3 linked regions of the Drosophila melanogaster genome follow. The protein of the gene in region 1 interacts with the protein of each later gene in a pairwise test. Each region holds a gene or a part of one and is shown on either strand. Other genes may lie near its edges.

Evidence for each region. The genes of interacting proteins can lie anywhere in the genome.
Region 2: the proteins of CG43691 (region 1) and CG7856 interact in a two-hybrid assay, tested with the Drosophila melanogaster proteins (one large-scale study listed by BioGRID).
Region 3: the proteins of CG43691 (region 1) and crn interact in a two-hybrid assay, tested with the Drosophila melanogaster proteins (one large-scale study listed by BioGRID).

What each region holds. Positions count from the first base shown.
Region 1 is NT_033778.4:13,388,972-13,395,388, reverse strand, and holds CG43691 (uncharacterized protein), read left to right. Parts: upstream 1-2,027; 5' UTR 2,028-2,170; coding exon 2,171-4,864; intron 4,865-4,939; coding exon 4,940-5,536; 3' UTR 5,537-5,894; downstream 5,895-6,417. Other genes in the region: CG4744 (uncharacterized protein), read left to right, coding at 1-646.
Region 2 is NT_033778.4:6,056,856-6,061,352, reverse strand, and holds CG7856 (uncharacterized protein), read left to right. Parts: upstream 1-1,794; 5' UTR 1,795-1,917; coding exon 1,918-3,969; 3' UTR 3,970-3,996; downstream 3,997-4,497.
Region 3 is NC_004354.4:2,247,093-2,251,594, reverse strand, and holds crn (crooked neck), read left to right. Parts: upstream 1-1,611; 5' UTR 1,612-1,731; coding exon 1,732-1,767; intron 1,768-1,825; coding exon 1,826-3,898; 3' UTR 3,899-4,001; downstream 4,002-4,502. Other genes in the region: CG3191 (uncharacterized protein), read left to right, coding at 241-400, 501-582, 646-948, 1,015-1,151, 1,208-1,289; Or2a (odorant receptor 2a), read right to left, coding at 4,101-4,151, 4,222-4,502. UniProt on the Drosophila melanogaster protein: May be involved in pre-mRNA splicing process. Involved in embryonic neurogenesis and cell rearrangement during Malpighian tubule morphogenesis.

The DNA of each region.
Region 1 (6,417 bases):
CCGCTTACTGGCGGTTCTGGAGAGGAATCGCAAGTGTGAACAGAAGCAGTCCAAAAACTTCTATCAAATCCGCAATGACAAGACCGAGAGTTATCTACATCACACGGAGACCATGTTGCGGGACACAATGGAGGCGATTAGCAGCATAATTGATGAGCAGGTGCGACGAAGAGCATGCATTCCTTTGCGTCCGGATCTCCAGGACTTCTATGACCTAATTCTCAAGACATCCAACGAGCAACAAAAGTGTCGTGAGAAGCGACAGAGCACACTTCAAATCCTTGCCGAGGATTTCAGTCAGGATGTGCGATTGCTCGATCCGAGTAAGATCAGCCAAAAGTCGAGAATTGTCAAGAAGTTACTGCGACAGTACGAGGATCTACCGATGGAGGATCAACAGGCGGCGGTTGGAGTGCGTGATGAATTGCTCCTGGATCTGGTTTATCTCCAGAAGATGGCCGAATCCGCAGAGCGCAATCAACGTAACGCCCGTTTGCAGGAGGTGCTCAAACAGACCAGCCTGGACGAGGTCCTGGAAAAGAGTCTAACCACCGAGTACTCACCGCGTTTTATAAAACTGCTAAAGACGGCGGAGCTTTATAAGGAGGCGGGCGAGCAGCAGGCCAAGGCATTTGTGGGTCTTTAGACCGCTTTAATCAACGTTTTAGATTTTTGTTTCAATTCATTAGTTGTTTTTTTCAATTAAAAATTCCCTTTGTTTGAGTTAAGTCATATATTTTTAACACATTTGAAATAAGCAACAAAATTCGTTTGAATTTATGTCAATAAATATTTTGAATAACACTTAGTTATTGTAAAATATTTTTAAGAATATAGTTTTATCCAAAGTAGTGCGAGAGTCCCAGATTGGCACCCAGATCGGTCTGGCCCTTGAAGGGTCCACTTGTCCACTTGGATGCCGTGCTGCCCAGATCTAGCCTTGTGTTGCGATCCTGCGACTGCCAAAGATTGGCACGCCCACCCAGCTCCAATTGCTTACCCAATCCGGGAATATTGGCGTGCGTCAGGGTAGCTCCATGACCTTTGATGTGGGAGTAGTCCAGTGCAGCTTCATTTCTATCGAACTTGAAGCCATTGGCAAGCTGATTCTGCGAGGCAAATGCCTTGGCATCCAGATTGTGAACACCGTTGTTGAACAAATTGGCGGTGGCCGTTTGCTGGAAGCTATCCCGCACACCGGGCGTATGGGTTTTGGTCAGTTCCAGGCCGTGTCCATGACTGCTCATGAAAAATAAGATTAGTTTCGCTATTGCTCAGATCGTAATCCTTTAAGAGACTCACTTGTTGTAGCCCAGGGTGGCGCCGCTGGTTACGGGAGTGGATACCGGTTTGGTCTGCGTGTTGCCCGCTGCGAACACTTGTCCAATAACATGGTGATCGGGAGTTCCAACGGCCTTGCTTAGGTCCAATCGGGCATCGGCACCGCCACTCGGATTGGATGTGAGTGATCCACCCAACACCTGGCGACGTGCCCTGTAGATTCTGGGTGGCGTCGGTGGTGGAGATCAGTGGCTGGGTATACGGACGTTGGGGCAAGGCCACCGCAAGGGAGCCAAGTACGCCAACGATGACCACAATTAGGAGAACAATTTTGCTCATCTTGCTGTATTAATCTCTTGATTTTCGATCTACTTGACTAAGCGGCTGACTGTTGACTGACGATGCTGGGATCTGGTCACCGTGAATTATATAGCAATCTATCTCTGAGTGGGGCTTCCCATCGAAACCGACAATGAATACCAATTTATAGATGGAAGATTTGTGATGCCTTATCTGTAAGCTGAGCAATGTTTCGCACTGGGATCCCCGAATGACCAGGTGGTTCACACCGTCTGATAAGAGATTGTGCATCCCCTTGAAACTACTTGCCGGTGATTTGCAAACTCTTTAAGGGTTTATTTTGAAGACAATTTTAATTAAATATATTTATGAATTTATATATAATAAAACAAGAATTTTAAAATAAAATCAATTTGAATTCAATTTATAATAACATATTTGCCAATGAGTAAGTTCAAATTTTAATAGAGTTAGCTTTTAAATTTTTTATGACATTTCATGACATTTAAGACTGTTTAAAAATCTAGTTAATTGGTATTCTTTGTATACACAATTCAGAGGATAAGGGATCAAATTCGATTAGTACGCGATGCAAGTGCCCCTGCTCCACCGGAGCACCCAGATGGTGCTGCTGAAGAAGCAGATCCGGCGGAAGGCGAAGGAGTTGCGTCTGCGAAAGCGTCACGCCCACCGCCGCCTTCAGGTGATGAGAAGGATCCGTGACCATCTGCTCGACAGGATGAGGAACTCCATAGATCACCGGCAGCGGGATGCGGAGCAGAAGAAGAGGGAGCAGACACGGAGGGCGGTGGGCGGTATGCTTTCCATGTACAAGCATTGGCTGCGCAGCTGGTCAAAAGCTTTAAGGTTACAAAGTCAGCTAATTCGGCACCAGGAGCATGTAAAAGTGGGAATGCGTCGCAAACTTCGACACTTGAGGAGGCAGTTGAAGAAAGTCCGCAATCCAAAGAACTTGGTCGACAAGTGCTTCCATCGACTGTTCAAGGCAGTTAGGAAGTGGCAAAAGAAACCGGATTACTACGAACACGTCAAGGATCAGGACAAGATCTGGGAGGCAGAGGCACTGGAGGTTCGAAACTATTTATCGGAGGTTCGGGGAAGGCGACCACGAAAGCTAAGCCGTGGCAGGGTTAAAAAGGATTTCGAAATCGAGGACTTTGCTAAATTTTGGAAAACTGAAGTGTTGCAAACAAACGCTATGATCAATAAACAAAGGGCCATGAGAGGAAGAAACGTGCCAGTAGATACAGCACATGATAAAACTAGGAAATCAAAGAAGAAATTGTGGAAAAGAAAAAAATTATATATCAGCTTAGATGAACTTGTTATTCGGAAAAAATTGAAAAGAATTCGGAAGGACATTCGAAAGCCAAAGAAACATGATCCATTAAAACCATCTTTAGAGGAACTGAAAATGTTGATAAGGGAACTAATCAGCTTCAACTGGAAAAAGATAGTTATTAAAAACCCGAAAATTAACAGAAAAGCCATAAGAAACCCCAAATTTGATTTTGACAAAATCTCCGATATTACAACTTTAAACCCAAAAGTACGAATAAAAAGAATTGTGAAAAGCGGACGAGCTCCCAGAAATGTTCCAGATCCGAAAATCATTAAATTCAAGGTAACAAGACCTAAACTTCGAAAGCGTAAAATGCACTATGTGGATAGGGTAATTAAAGACGAATTAAATGCACTTTTAGAGACAAAGGCAAAGAAAAGGGGCAATCGTCATGGAAAAACTAAAGAAGCTGAAACTTTTCAACAGGAAAAGGAAAAAAGAGACTTGGAAAAGCAAGAAAATGTACTCGAAAGATTATATAATGATATACCCCTATATATGAGGCGTGATATTGAGAGAAGAAATAGGAAAAAACTACGTGACAAACTTCAAGCTTCTAGTTCGAGTAGTTCGATTGCGTCCAAAGAGGTTTTCATCGGATCCGAAAAAGTGGCCACTAAGTCGGATAAGCACAAAAAGCTTTCCAGTACGAGCAGCGTTTACGTAATCAAAGACCGACCCGAATTATCTGCCGAGAGGAGTGGTTCTCATGTGTTATTCAAAAGGGATAGCGTTGCGTCCCTCACTGAATCACTGAATAAATTAGTTATGGGCAATCGAAACCGAAAATTTACCCGTAAATCTATTCGCATGCCACCCATCATACCCAAGAAGATCCGCGTTGCTCCTCCAAGAGGTCAAGAGGAAAGTCACTATCAGTCTTTGAAGAAGGATATCATGTACCTTCCTACAAACAGCGAGCATATGGGTGTATCTAGGATTACAGCCAGCGAATCAGCTCTGCACAGAGGGAACCAATCGAACAGGCATCTTCCACGAAGGGCTTCCGATACCCAAGTTGGTATTTATCCGACTAAATCCCAAAGCCAAGTTTTTGGTCATCTATCTTCGAAATCGACATCCAAAAATAAATTTAAATATGATGCGCTGCCAGATGATCTTGAAAAACTCCTTGCACCGGTGCGAGATCGCCACGACAAAACAGAAAATGCCCCAAAGCCCTACGTCAAAGAGTTCGAATTCGAACGGTTTCATTTGAAAGATCTACGCTCAGATGCCAAATTCAAACACTTGCAGTTCCTCCTTAAGGACGTCATACAAAGAAACGAAGTTATCGAGTATATTGCCGATGTTAATGGACTTATGCAGGAAGTAGCTAACCATGAAATGTGGTCCCATCTTCAGAGTCTCTACAACGAACTCACAGATGCAGGAGTTACGTTAACGCAAATTAAGGAAAGTCTGGCCAAAAAGTACTTGGAGTATCTTAACGAAATAGTGACCGAGAAGAACTATGCACGAATGGAACCGCCGCGGGACAATATGCTTAACGTTTTGGAAACCGAATCTATGAAAGCCAAACAGAAGAAAGAGGTGGAAAAGTTTATGGAGCGAAACTGGTGGTCTAGGAAGCGGGTCAGCACACGGCTCATTCCCTTCGGCATGCGGGGAATAAGGACGAGCAAAATTGACCCATCTCACAGCTCACGCCAGTCGCAGGAAATCAAGATGAACGGCGGAATGTACAATAAACTCCTCGAGCAGGAGCTCAATGCAGAACGATTGGAGCGCGAGGAGCGTAAGAGAAGACGCTTTAGCAGCACCTTTGGATCAACTATAAGCTTCAACAACAGCTTGGATCTGGCGGCCAACGAGGAGCAGGATGTGCGGGACATCGAGTGGCGCTACTCGCTACACAACATTAGGAGCATGATGAACCAGCACCAGCTGATGTTTCAGGTGGGTTAACTATACTCAACCGCCAAAAAGTTATAAAATAACATCTTCGAAATACATTTTTATTCTTTCTTTCAGGCTTTGGATCGCAAATCGCGAGTGGAGCAGTTGGTCCACAAGAAGATGAAGGGAAAAGTCGAAGAATTGTATACCTCTGCACAATTTAGGCGTCCTAAATTCCGTTCCACCACTTTTACGGCAAGGAAGAGGAGCAAAGATCTTAGGCCCATCGAGGAACTTTACTACTCACCCCGAAAAACTTGTCGCCTGCAGAAGATCTCCTGTTCCGCAGAGTGTTTGGCATGCGAAGGCCAAGTTGAGAAAATTGGTGATTCGATGATCCTGGACAAGTGTCCTCGGTGTGGAGTAAAGGTGCCTGTGCCCGCGCCCACTACCCCGTTCTCCATGTCGTCCTCGTCCAGCTGCGAGATCTTGTCCAGCGGATCCATAGAAGCCTGTGCCAAGAACAAGCTGCTAATCAACACGCTCGAGGACCTTTGCACACGCTGTGGCTATGTCCATAAAAAGGGGCATCTTTGCTCACAGTTACCCATGAATGAGCGGAAGACCAAGCTTCTAAAGCGGATTAAGGGCACCGTACCTACTGCTCCCGAGTGCCCGGCATTTTGCTGCCCACGCGGGATCCTTAAGAATACCAGAAGTTTTGATCCTTAGCAGGGGCGACAAGGAGTGCTGAGTACTTTTGAAGCCACCAAAGTGGTAACTAAACTCCGGATATGCACGGATATGAGCACCACCAAATCAGCCGGCTGAGGCGAATGAAACATTTGGTTTAAGTGCTAAATAAATTCAAGTAATGAGTTTGCCTCTGTCTGTGGGTGTGCCTGTGTTGTTAAATGCTTTGCCAAGTTTCATAAAATATGCAAGGACTTTTGCACACACACACACACACACATTGCACACCAACAAACAGGGCCAAGCTCATGCGATGCACTCACGTAGAGAGAAAATGTCTGCGGGCTTTTAATACACTTGCAGGATGCTCCTTCTCCTGGTCGTGTTCCTTATCCCCTTGCTGCTCCACCCACTGCTCCCCCCGATGCTCCTGCCACGACTTCTCGCTCATGCAACGAAATTTCATCTTGCCTCCTTTTTTTTTCGGCCAAGTTTTTAAGTCGAGCCATTGCTGTAATGGAATTTTATTGCATACTCGCACTCGCATTCTGTTTGCGCAAGCGAAACATGTTTCAGACATTTTCATAAATGAAAACGCTTAACTACACAGCCGCCGATTGGCCGAAGATCAGGCAGGCTCTCAAGGAATTTTCCGAGTAACAGATCCTATATTTCAAAATTGTTGCAATTAAAATGGAACTGTGCTTACAATGTTATTGGTTCTTCAGTAAGGATATTCTCATTTAATTTAGGACATTTTATGTATTTTTATACCAGATCAGTGGATATTACTTACTGATTTATAAAGCTTGTAAGACTGCATTTGGAAATCCTAATATTTGTTAATCTAGTTCTTGCTCTTACAAATCTGCTTATTTTTCTTTTTTCATTTTATATATAACTTGTGACCGAATAAATTC
Region 2 (4,497 bases), 7.3 Mb from region 1:
TCCTACTGTCTGAGTAACGGATATCTGATAGTCGAGGAAGTCGACTACAGCGTTCTCTCTTGCTTTAAATACACATATTTGTGTTTATTGCAAGGGTATCTAAGCTTCGACTTATCGGCGCCATCTTCTTTTCAGGTTGTGTATTGCGTTTTATCCGTGGCCTTGCCGATGCCAATCTCTTTTGCCGAGGCATGGGTAATTTTCGGCAAATAGAACTCTTGCCCAGGCTCAAAAGTCTTAACACATGTCTTGGGGAGAATTGGAGTAGAAAAATTGTAACACATGGTTAAGCACATTTAATCGTTGGGGTCTTAACCTTTTAATTTTATCACCCGCTCAACTTAACATATTTAAAAGGGTTAGGTTTTGAAAGATCAACTGTTTTGGCTTAAAGGTAAAATCTGCTCTTTTCTTGACTTATTCATCTTGTCCACTATAAATGCACTTCGCGAGTCAACTAAAAAAAGAGTCCGAAAACGTCAAATAGCTGCTGGCAACAACAAAGAATATGTCAGTCTTTTTTCTAAATCAGGAAACTTTTTCTTTCCTGTATCAAACTTTTGGATAGGTTTTTCACGAGCGAAAGCGGAAAAGTTAAATTTTCCGCTTAGTCCTAGCCGTAGACAAGCCATTTCATTTAAGAGGCCATCCCATGGGATCACTGGGCAGGCAACAGCCATCAACAAGAGAAATGATTAAACTTGACTGACCAGACACGCGCCTTAATGTCGTCAATTGACCTCAATCAATTATACACAATATTTTTTATTTGACCTTCGTTTATTCCATTAGAGTTTTTTTTATTTGTATTAAAATTCGGCGATGTGACTGTAAAACGCATCTGAGGCAGCCATTTGGCCTAGGAATAACATTTTTTCATGATTTAGCGTTGTTGTACGAGCTGAATTTGGTATGTGCTAGATAAAAACCAGCCGTTAAGCAATTTCAAATGTCGGGACACGGGTGAAATAAGCATTTGCCACCCGCAGTCAGTTCCGAGCAGGGGATGTCTTGGATGCCCCGTTGCGAGCAACCGCTTAGCAAAAGGCAAAGCCAGATATTATATGTTATCACCAGCGATGTATTACTGCTTCTACAGCACAGTGACTCAATATACAAATAAAGGTGAGAAAAAAATGCGATTCTCCTTTTTTTGACTTGTGCAAGAGCTTTTGATTTTGGAAACGAAACGTAGCCCAGAGAGACAGGGTATGGCGTTCCGTTGTATTTCGTGTTAGATAAATCATAAAGCAAAAATAATTTAATACACTTGCGTGCCCTGGTTGTAGCTCTGGCGACGAGGCGTATGTGCAATGCGGCGTGTCGGTTAATCATTTGCTTCTTTTATGAGCAGCCAAGCCGAATAATAAGCCTCAAAGAAAAGCGAGCTTAAAGGTGCACCTCAAACTCTGTTAAATTCACGGCCTATCACGACGGCACGACCCAACGCTCAACGCCAACTCATTATTTCCCCTGCAGCTCTAATTAGAGTCAAATATAACTAGGGGGCCTTGAGGACCCCGTACGCTAGCCTTGGCCATATTTAATGCGAGCTGAAAGGTCCGCGAGTTATGCAAATTTGCCCCGCCCACCGAATGCTCCGAACATTGACAAAATTATGCGCAATCGCGGGCCAGTCTCTCGGCTACCAACTTCCGGCGACAAAGTCAAGTCATGGATGGACATCCTGACCTCGCCCGCGGGTCCAGCCATTAGTCGTCATTAAAGATGATTGAATGCGAGCCCCGCTTTTGCATTGTATAAAAGGGGCACACTCCTGGTGACAACAGGGTAGGTAAAGTTGCCTTGGCGTCAGTTGGCAGTTTGGGAAAAGCCTACACACTTAATATTTCGATAGATACACTTATTTCGCAATCGTAGAAGATACCACAAATCTCTCTTCCGTAAATTATAAGTATGTCCAAGAGGGTGAGCATCATGTTGCCCGACGAAATACCTGCGGCTCCGTCAGGCAGCAGGAGGAACCCGATGCCCAGCCGCACACTCAAAAGTTCCATTAAAAGTGGATCAAGCGCTCGGACGCAACCCGCACCGCCAGTGTTCGTGGTTGTCAACCCGGAGAGCAGCCAAAGCTCGCTTACCTCGGGTCAGCGGAACAACACCAGCACGACCAGCAACAGTTCCCTTAACCAACGAAATAAGGAGCACTCCGCGGCGAGGTTGTCAGTAACCGAAGATACGGCAGCCCTGGACAGCAGTGCCTTGCTTCAAGGTGGATCCTCAAACTCTCGTGATACAGTTAACTTCGATTCGACCTCCACCTCGATCAGGATGTTCCTTAAGAACACAGTGGGCCTTGTCAGGGCAGGAGAGTCCTTCACATCTGTAAAACATCTCTTTCACAAGTTCATCAAACGCAGCGGTTCTGTGCCAAATTCCAAGCGTTCGTTGACATCCTCCTGCTCCCAGGCGGTAGATGAGGAAAATCCCTATATGAGCAAGTCCAATGATACGCTTCTGACGGACTCGCCCACCCGCACTACTGTGCCCAGCACCTCCCAGATAACGCCCACCTCACATTTCTCCAACTGCTCATTCAATAACACGAACTACGACCTTTCCAACCTCCTCTCTGACATCACCCCTTTGACTGGCTACACGCCAGTGGGTCTCACTGAGGAGGCTGACTACCGAACAGACACTTCCGCAAACACCGCATTGAACAGTGTGACATGCAATTTGGCGAGCTCGTCGGAGAATCCTTTGGGAAGCGGATTCGACAACAGTCCCTCGAAGATTTCTACCGATCAGGAGAAGATAGCGGACACACAAGGACGTCCTACTTCCAGAAATCGCTTTAGCAGCAAATCTTTTCGCCAGAAACTTAAGACCTCGCGCTCTAGTTCACCCAGAAAGTCGCCCAAGATGTCACCTCGAAATAAGCAGTCAGCACCTGCAATGGAACCCATATTTGCAATGGTTAGTTCATCTGGGCCTAACTCTTCTGAGGGATCACGGCGATCGAGCAAATCGAGCCTGAGGCGGAAGCAAAGTCCATTACCCAACGTAACTGCCAAAATCTCGGCCACCTCTAATTCAAGAGCGGACTTGGCTAAAGCGCCCAAGTCCAGGAAAGAAACCACCGCCCGATCAAACCTATCAAGAAAGAGCTACCGCCGGAGTTCACCCAGAAGCCGAAGTCGAGGTTCTCGGGCAAACGCCTTAGAGAGCCCCCTTCAAAAGAGCGAGGACACCCCCGACAATGTAGAGTACGCCTTCGCTCTGGTCAGCCCTGAGGAGGCGGGGAACAGTCAGCCTGAAGAAAGTAGTGCCGGTGTCGAGGATGCCTCCTCCAAGTGCGAGACATACCAAAAGGATTGCAATTGCCACCATTGCCAGGACATGCGTCGGGCGGTCAAGAGGTCCGACTTTTTCAAATCTCCCGAGGGACAGAAGCGGCTAGAGGCGAAGCTACTGGCCAAGAACTTCTTCATGGACCTATGCGTAGCGTCAGAAGTGCGCCGACAGGCTCAGTCCGATCTGCATGGAAAACGACGTCCTCCATCAGCGCGTCTCAGTTACCCGGTGAGCATCTGTGGAGCGTGCAGGCTGAGCGGAGGCTCGCTGTCGTTGCATTGGATCACCCATGACCTTGACAGCGTAGACCACTTCGACGTTTTTGTGGACAACGTGCCAAACCGTAGTGTCTACAACCGGCAGGCCACCTCCACCGTGCTCGTCGACGTGAACACCACCGAGACGCACACGCTGCGCCTACGAGCGGTGCCGGAGCGTGGGAGCCGTGGTCAGGATTCCTCGGTGGACAAATTCATGTCGGAGGTGGCGGCCGGGCATATGCGTCACGTCAGGCAGGGCCAGCTCTTCGCCACGTGCTTCGCGCACCTGGACGCCCGGCCGCAACAGCGTTCACTGGTGGATTTCTGGACGGACAGCGAGTTCTTGTACATGCCCACCCGCGAAACTCTTACGCCTTCAAAGGCTCGCTGACTGGCGAAAATAAACTGATTTATGAGCAGCAGTCCGTTTTGGGAGTGGATATGCGGCAGGAACAGCTGCGTGGGTGAAAATTGATTAGGCTAATTTAGAAGTGATGACCAATCGGCGCACTAAACTCTCAGTGCAAAAGCAGTGGCCCGGCTCCCACCTGCACCACGTTTTGCGAGATATTCAAAACGAATCGTGGGCCTGGTGCGGCCATCAGTCAACGAGACATGGGCGCTAAGCATCCCGCGCGTCTTTATCAGTGGCTTGCAGGCAGGCTGGCTTGGCGTGGGGGGACTGGTACTGACGAAGGCGTTTCGCGCTGATCTGTCAGAGATTTTGGGCCGCAAAGTGGCATGATTAATTATTTGGCAAATATTTGGATTCCGCGCTCTCAGCTCAGCTGGCTTCACCATGGAAATAAGGAAAACCAAAAATATGCGGACTGGCACTTTCATAGAGGAAAGAACGGGCGAGAAACCCAAACCGTTCAGTATTTTAATTAATTTTCACTTTCGTTGGGGACTAGTGAGC
Region 3 (4,502 bases), on another chromosome or scaffold:
CCCACCGTCCATTAATTAGGTCGTTAGTAGGCCGCTCCGCTCGCCGCCTTACGTCACTGTAGTCAATTGTATACAAACAGTGAATGTACAGGCAAGTCTCCCTAAATCGAACCGCACTTCCCAATTCAATATGTCCAACACGATGTTTGAATTAATTAATATTCCCGTAATGTGCAAAGTTCCATGGGCTTAACTCCTTAGCAAAAACTTCATTGTATCGTACCATATGTGTATTAACAGATCCGCTGCTGCTCCGGCGCTTCTACCAGTGCATGTTTGGAGACGTGGAGGAGACTCGGAAGCTCATCGAGGTGAACTACGCCCTGCGCAACCGGCACCCTCACCTGTTTATCAAGAGGGATCCTCTAGACGCGGACAGCAAGCGCACCTTTGACTACGCGTAAGTGTGTCCTTATTGGGAGAAAAGATTCCCTTTCCTTTGAGGCAGGGCCATGTTCCAAAAACATACATACCCGTATACCCCAACACTCGAATTTCAGAGACATTCTACCGCTGCCTGGCCTAACGCCGGACAAATGCAAGGTGTCGCTGTACTGCTTTCGGGAGTTCGAGGCCTCCAAGGTGAGTAATAGCTTCTCTTTGCTGTAGGAACTTGCGCTCCATACCGCCGATTGCTATCCCCAGATGCACCACACGGAGGACACGCGCGCCTTCTTTATGGTCAGCGACTGCCGGTTCGTGACGCCGGACGATCTCGCCAAACCGGATGTCCTGTCCGAAGGAGAGGTGCAGATATTCGACATGAAGGGCACCACAATGCGGCACATTTCGCGGCTGACGATCAGCACGCTGCGCGCCTACATCAAGTTCCTCCAGCTGGCATTTCCGGTGCGCCTGCGCGCCATTCACATGATTAACTGTCCAACTTACCTGGATCGGATCGTCAGCGTGGTGAAGCCGTTCATCAGCGACGAGGTCTTCAAGCTGGTGGGTTTCTTGAGAAGCCATTATGTCTCTAATAGCTTCATCTCACCATTACTTTCTACACTTTAGATCCGTTTCCACACGCAAAGCATAAATACGCTGTACGAGTTCGTGCCGCGGGAGATGCTGCCGGAGGAGTACGGCGGAGGAGCCGGGTCCTTAGAAGCACTGCGGACCCATACCCAAAAGGCCTTGGTTGAGCATCGGTGGGTTTCGATCTGCATGTTATAGTTATTCAGTAACGCCTCGTTGCCTTTTGTAGCGACTATCTGATGGACCCCGATCACTGGGTGGTGGTGAAGCCGGAGAAGCGGAACGAGAGTTCGTGGAGATTTTTCAAATGATTACCTAGAACATCTTCCACGGTAGCAAGGAGTCTCCTTCAACTGAAGACGGTTAAAAGTGTTTCAAGTGTATTGGGATAAACAGTTCCTGTGGCTTTTCATCTCTTAAATATCCATTTTTTTTTTAAATTTGTGTTGAAATTGCTCAAAAATAAATAAGTAAAAAATGCGTTATCCGTTTTATTTTTAACCCAACAATGTACAATTATTATACTAGTATATATTTATGGAAATACAACAAAAAAAGGGATTTAATTGAAACACACATTCAAAAGTAGAATGCGCAAAAGGCCAGTGGAGACAAAAAGCGATTATCGATAGCGAACTATCGAAATATGCCTATCGTTATCGCACGACGTTGTTAGTGGCATTATTTATTTTGTTGCGATTTAGCGTTTTTCCAACATAACATTGCTAAGTGAGGGACCCCGAATCGCACAGCATGGAGCGGCCACAGAAGATGCCCAAGGTGGCCAAGGTATGTGCCATCGTCGGCAATCCACCAAACCAACTTATCCAATCCAAAATTTCACCAGGTCAAAAACAAAGCGCCGGCGGAGGTGCAAATTACGGCGGAGCAGTTGCTCCGTGAGGCCAAGGAGCGAGATCTGGAGATTCTGCCGCCGCCGCCAAAGCAGAAGATCTCCGATCCCGCCGAGTTGGCAGACTATCAGCAGCGGAAGCGAAAGACCTTCGAGGACAATCTCCGCAAGAACCGCATGGTAGTCAGCCATTGGATCAAATATGCTCAGTGGGAGGAGCAGCAGCAGGAGATCCAGCGGGCGCGCTCTATCTGGGAGCGGGCGTTGGACAATGAGCACCGGAACGTGACCCTCTGGCTGAAATACGCCGAGATGGAGATGAAGAACAAGCAGGTGAATCATGCTCGCAATCTGTGGGATCGGGCAGTGACCATCATGCCGCGAGTCAACCAGTTCTGGTACAAGTACACCTACATGGAGGAGATGCTGGAGAATGTGGCAGGGGCGCGACAGGTGTTCGAGCGCTGGATGGAGTGGCAACCGGAGGAGCAGGCCTGGCAGACCTACGTCAACTTCGAGCTGCGCTACAAGGAGATCGACCGGGCACGGGAGATCTACGAGCGATTTGTCTATGTGCACCCGGACGTGAAGAACTGGATAAAGTTCGCCCGCTTTGAGGAGTCTCATGGGTTTATCCACGGCTCTCGGCGGGTATTTGAGCGCGCTGTGGAGTTCTTTGGTGACGACTACATCGAGGAGCGCCTGTTCATCGCCTTTGCACGTTTCGAGGAGGGTCAAAAGGAGCACGACAGGGCGCGCATCATCTACAAGTACGCTTTAGATCACCTACCTAAAGATCGCACACAGGAGCTGTTCAAGGCCTATACGAAACACGAGAAAAAGTACGGCGACAGAGCGGGTATTGAGGATGTGATTGTTTCCAAGCGCAAGTACCAGTACGAGCAGGAGGTGGCCGCCAATCCCACCAACTACGATGCCTGGTTCGACTATTTGCGCTTGATTGAGGCTGAGGGCGATCGGGATCAGATCCGTGAGACGTACGAACGGGCCATTTCCAACGTGCCGCCTGCCAATGAAAAGAACTTCTGGCGACGCTACATTTACCTTTGGATCAATTATGCTTTGTACGAGGAGCTTGAAGCGGAGGACGCGGAACGCACGCGGCAGATCTACAAGACCTGTCTGGAGCTAATACCTCACAAGCAGTTCACCTTCAGCAAGCTTTGGCTGCTGTACGCCCAATTCGAGATCCGCTGCAAGGAGCTGCAGCGAGCACGCAAAGCTCTGGGCTTGGCCATCGGCATGTGTCCCAGAGATAAGCTCTTCAGAGGCTATATTGATCTGGAGATTCAGTTGCGTGAGTTCGAGCGCTGCCGCATGCTGTACGAGAAGTTCCTGGAGTTTGGACCGGAGAATTGTGTCACTTGGATGAAGTTTGCCGAGCTGGAGAATCTGTTGGGCGACACGGACCGGGCGAGAGCCATTTTCGAGCTGGCGGTGCAGCAGCCGCGCCTGGACATGCCAGAGCTGCTGTGGAAGGCGTACATCGACTTCGAGGTAGCCCTAGGCGAAACAGAGCTAGCCAGACAGCTTTACGAGCGACTCCTTGAGCGGACGCAGCATGTGAAAGTGTGGATGTCGTTTGCCAAGTTCGAGATGGGCCTCAGCCACGGCGACAGCGGGCCAGATGCGGAGCTGAACGTGCAGCTGGCAAGGAGAATCTATGAGCGAGCCAACGAGATGTTGCGTCAGCTGGGAGACAAGGAGTCGCGTGTTCTGTTGCTAGAGGCATGGCGCGACTTTGAACGCGACGCCTCCGATTCGCAGGAGATGCAAAAGGTAATGGACAAGATGCCGCGGCGCATCAAGAAGCGGCAAAAGATCGTCTCGGACAATGGCGTCGAGGAAGGTTGGGAGGAGGTATTCGACTACATCTTTCCCGAGGACGAAATGGCTCGACCCAATCTCAAGTTGCTGGCTGCAGCTAAGATGTGGAAGACACAAAAAGACAACACGGTGGACGACCCGCCCGCTACAGCTATTGCATCTGAGCCAGAACCTGCAGCTGATGCTGCCCCAGCGGATACGACGGATAGCGGTGACTGATTCACTTCCGCCTAAAAATCGTTGCTTTTGAACAAAGCTAAATATCTGAAATTGCAGATTTTTCGCTTTATTTTTGGATACCTTAGTAATAAACCACTTAAATAAAAAACTATAATGATCTTTTTTTTTGTTATATTATCTGATATATTTTTCTGCTATTGTGCTTTAAAATTTTTCTCCCCAAAAAGAGATTATAAAGTTCTTACTTGGCCCTCAGCAAGAGTGTGAAAACAGAGTATGTGAACCTCATGACCTGGAATCAAGTGAATCATATCATATTTGAATCAAATCAAAGGACATTTGAATATATAATTGTGCCTTGCCTGCTCGAAGGTCTCCAGCGAGAGTGCGATGTAGTTGCCTGCGTAGATAAGAGAAGGCCGCTGCGTCCTGGCCAGGGTGAAGAGCAGTTCGCGCTTGAACTTGGGCAGCTGTTCTATCCAGTTGCAATCGTAGAAGGCATCGCACAGCGCCTCGCTCTGTGTCCGCATCCTGTCCCCAAAATAGCAGATTACAAACACCTCCAAGGTGACGGCCGAGAAAAATACAATCGAGATGATCATGGCGGTGTGGTCGTGGTCATCCGCTACGTACAGGAAGTGCA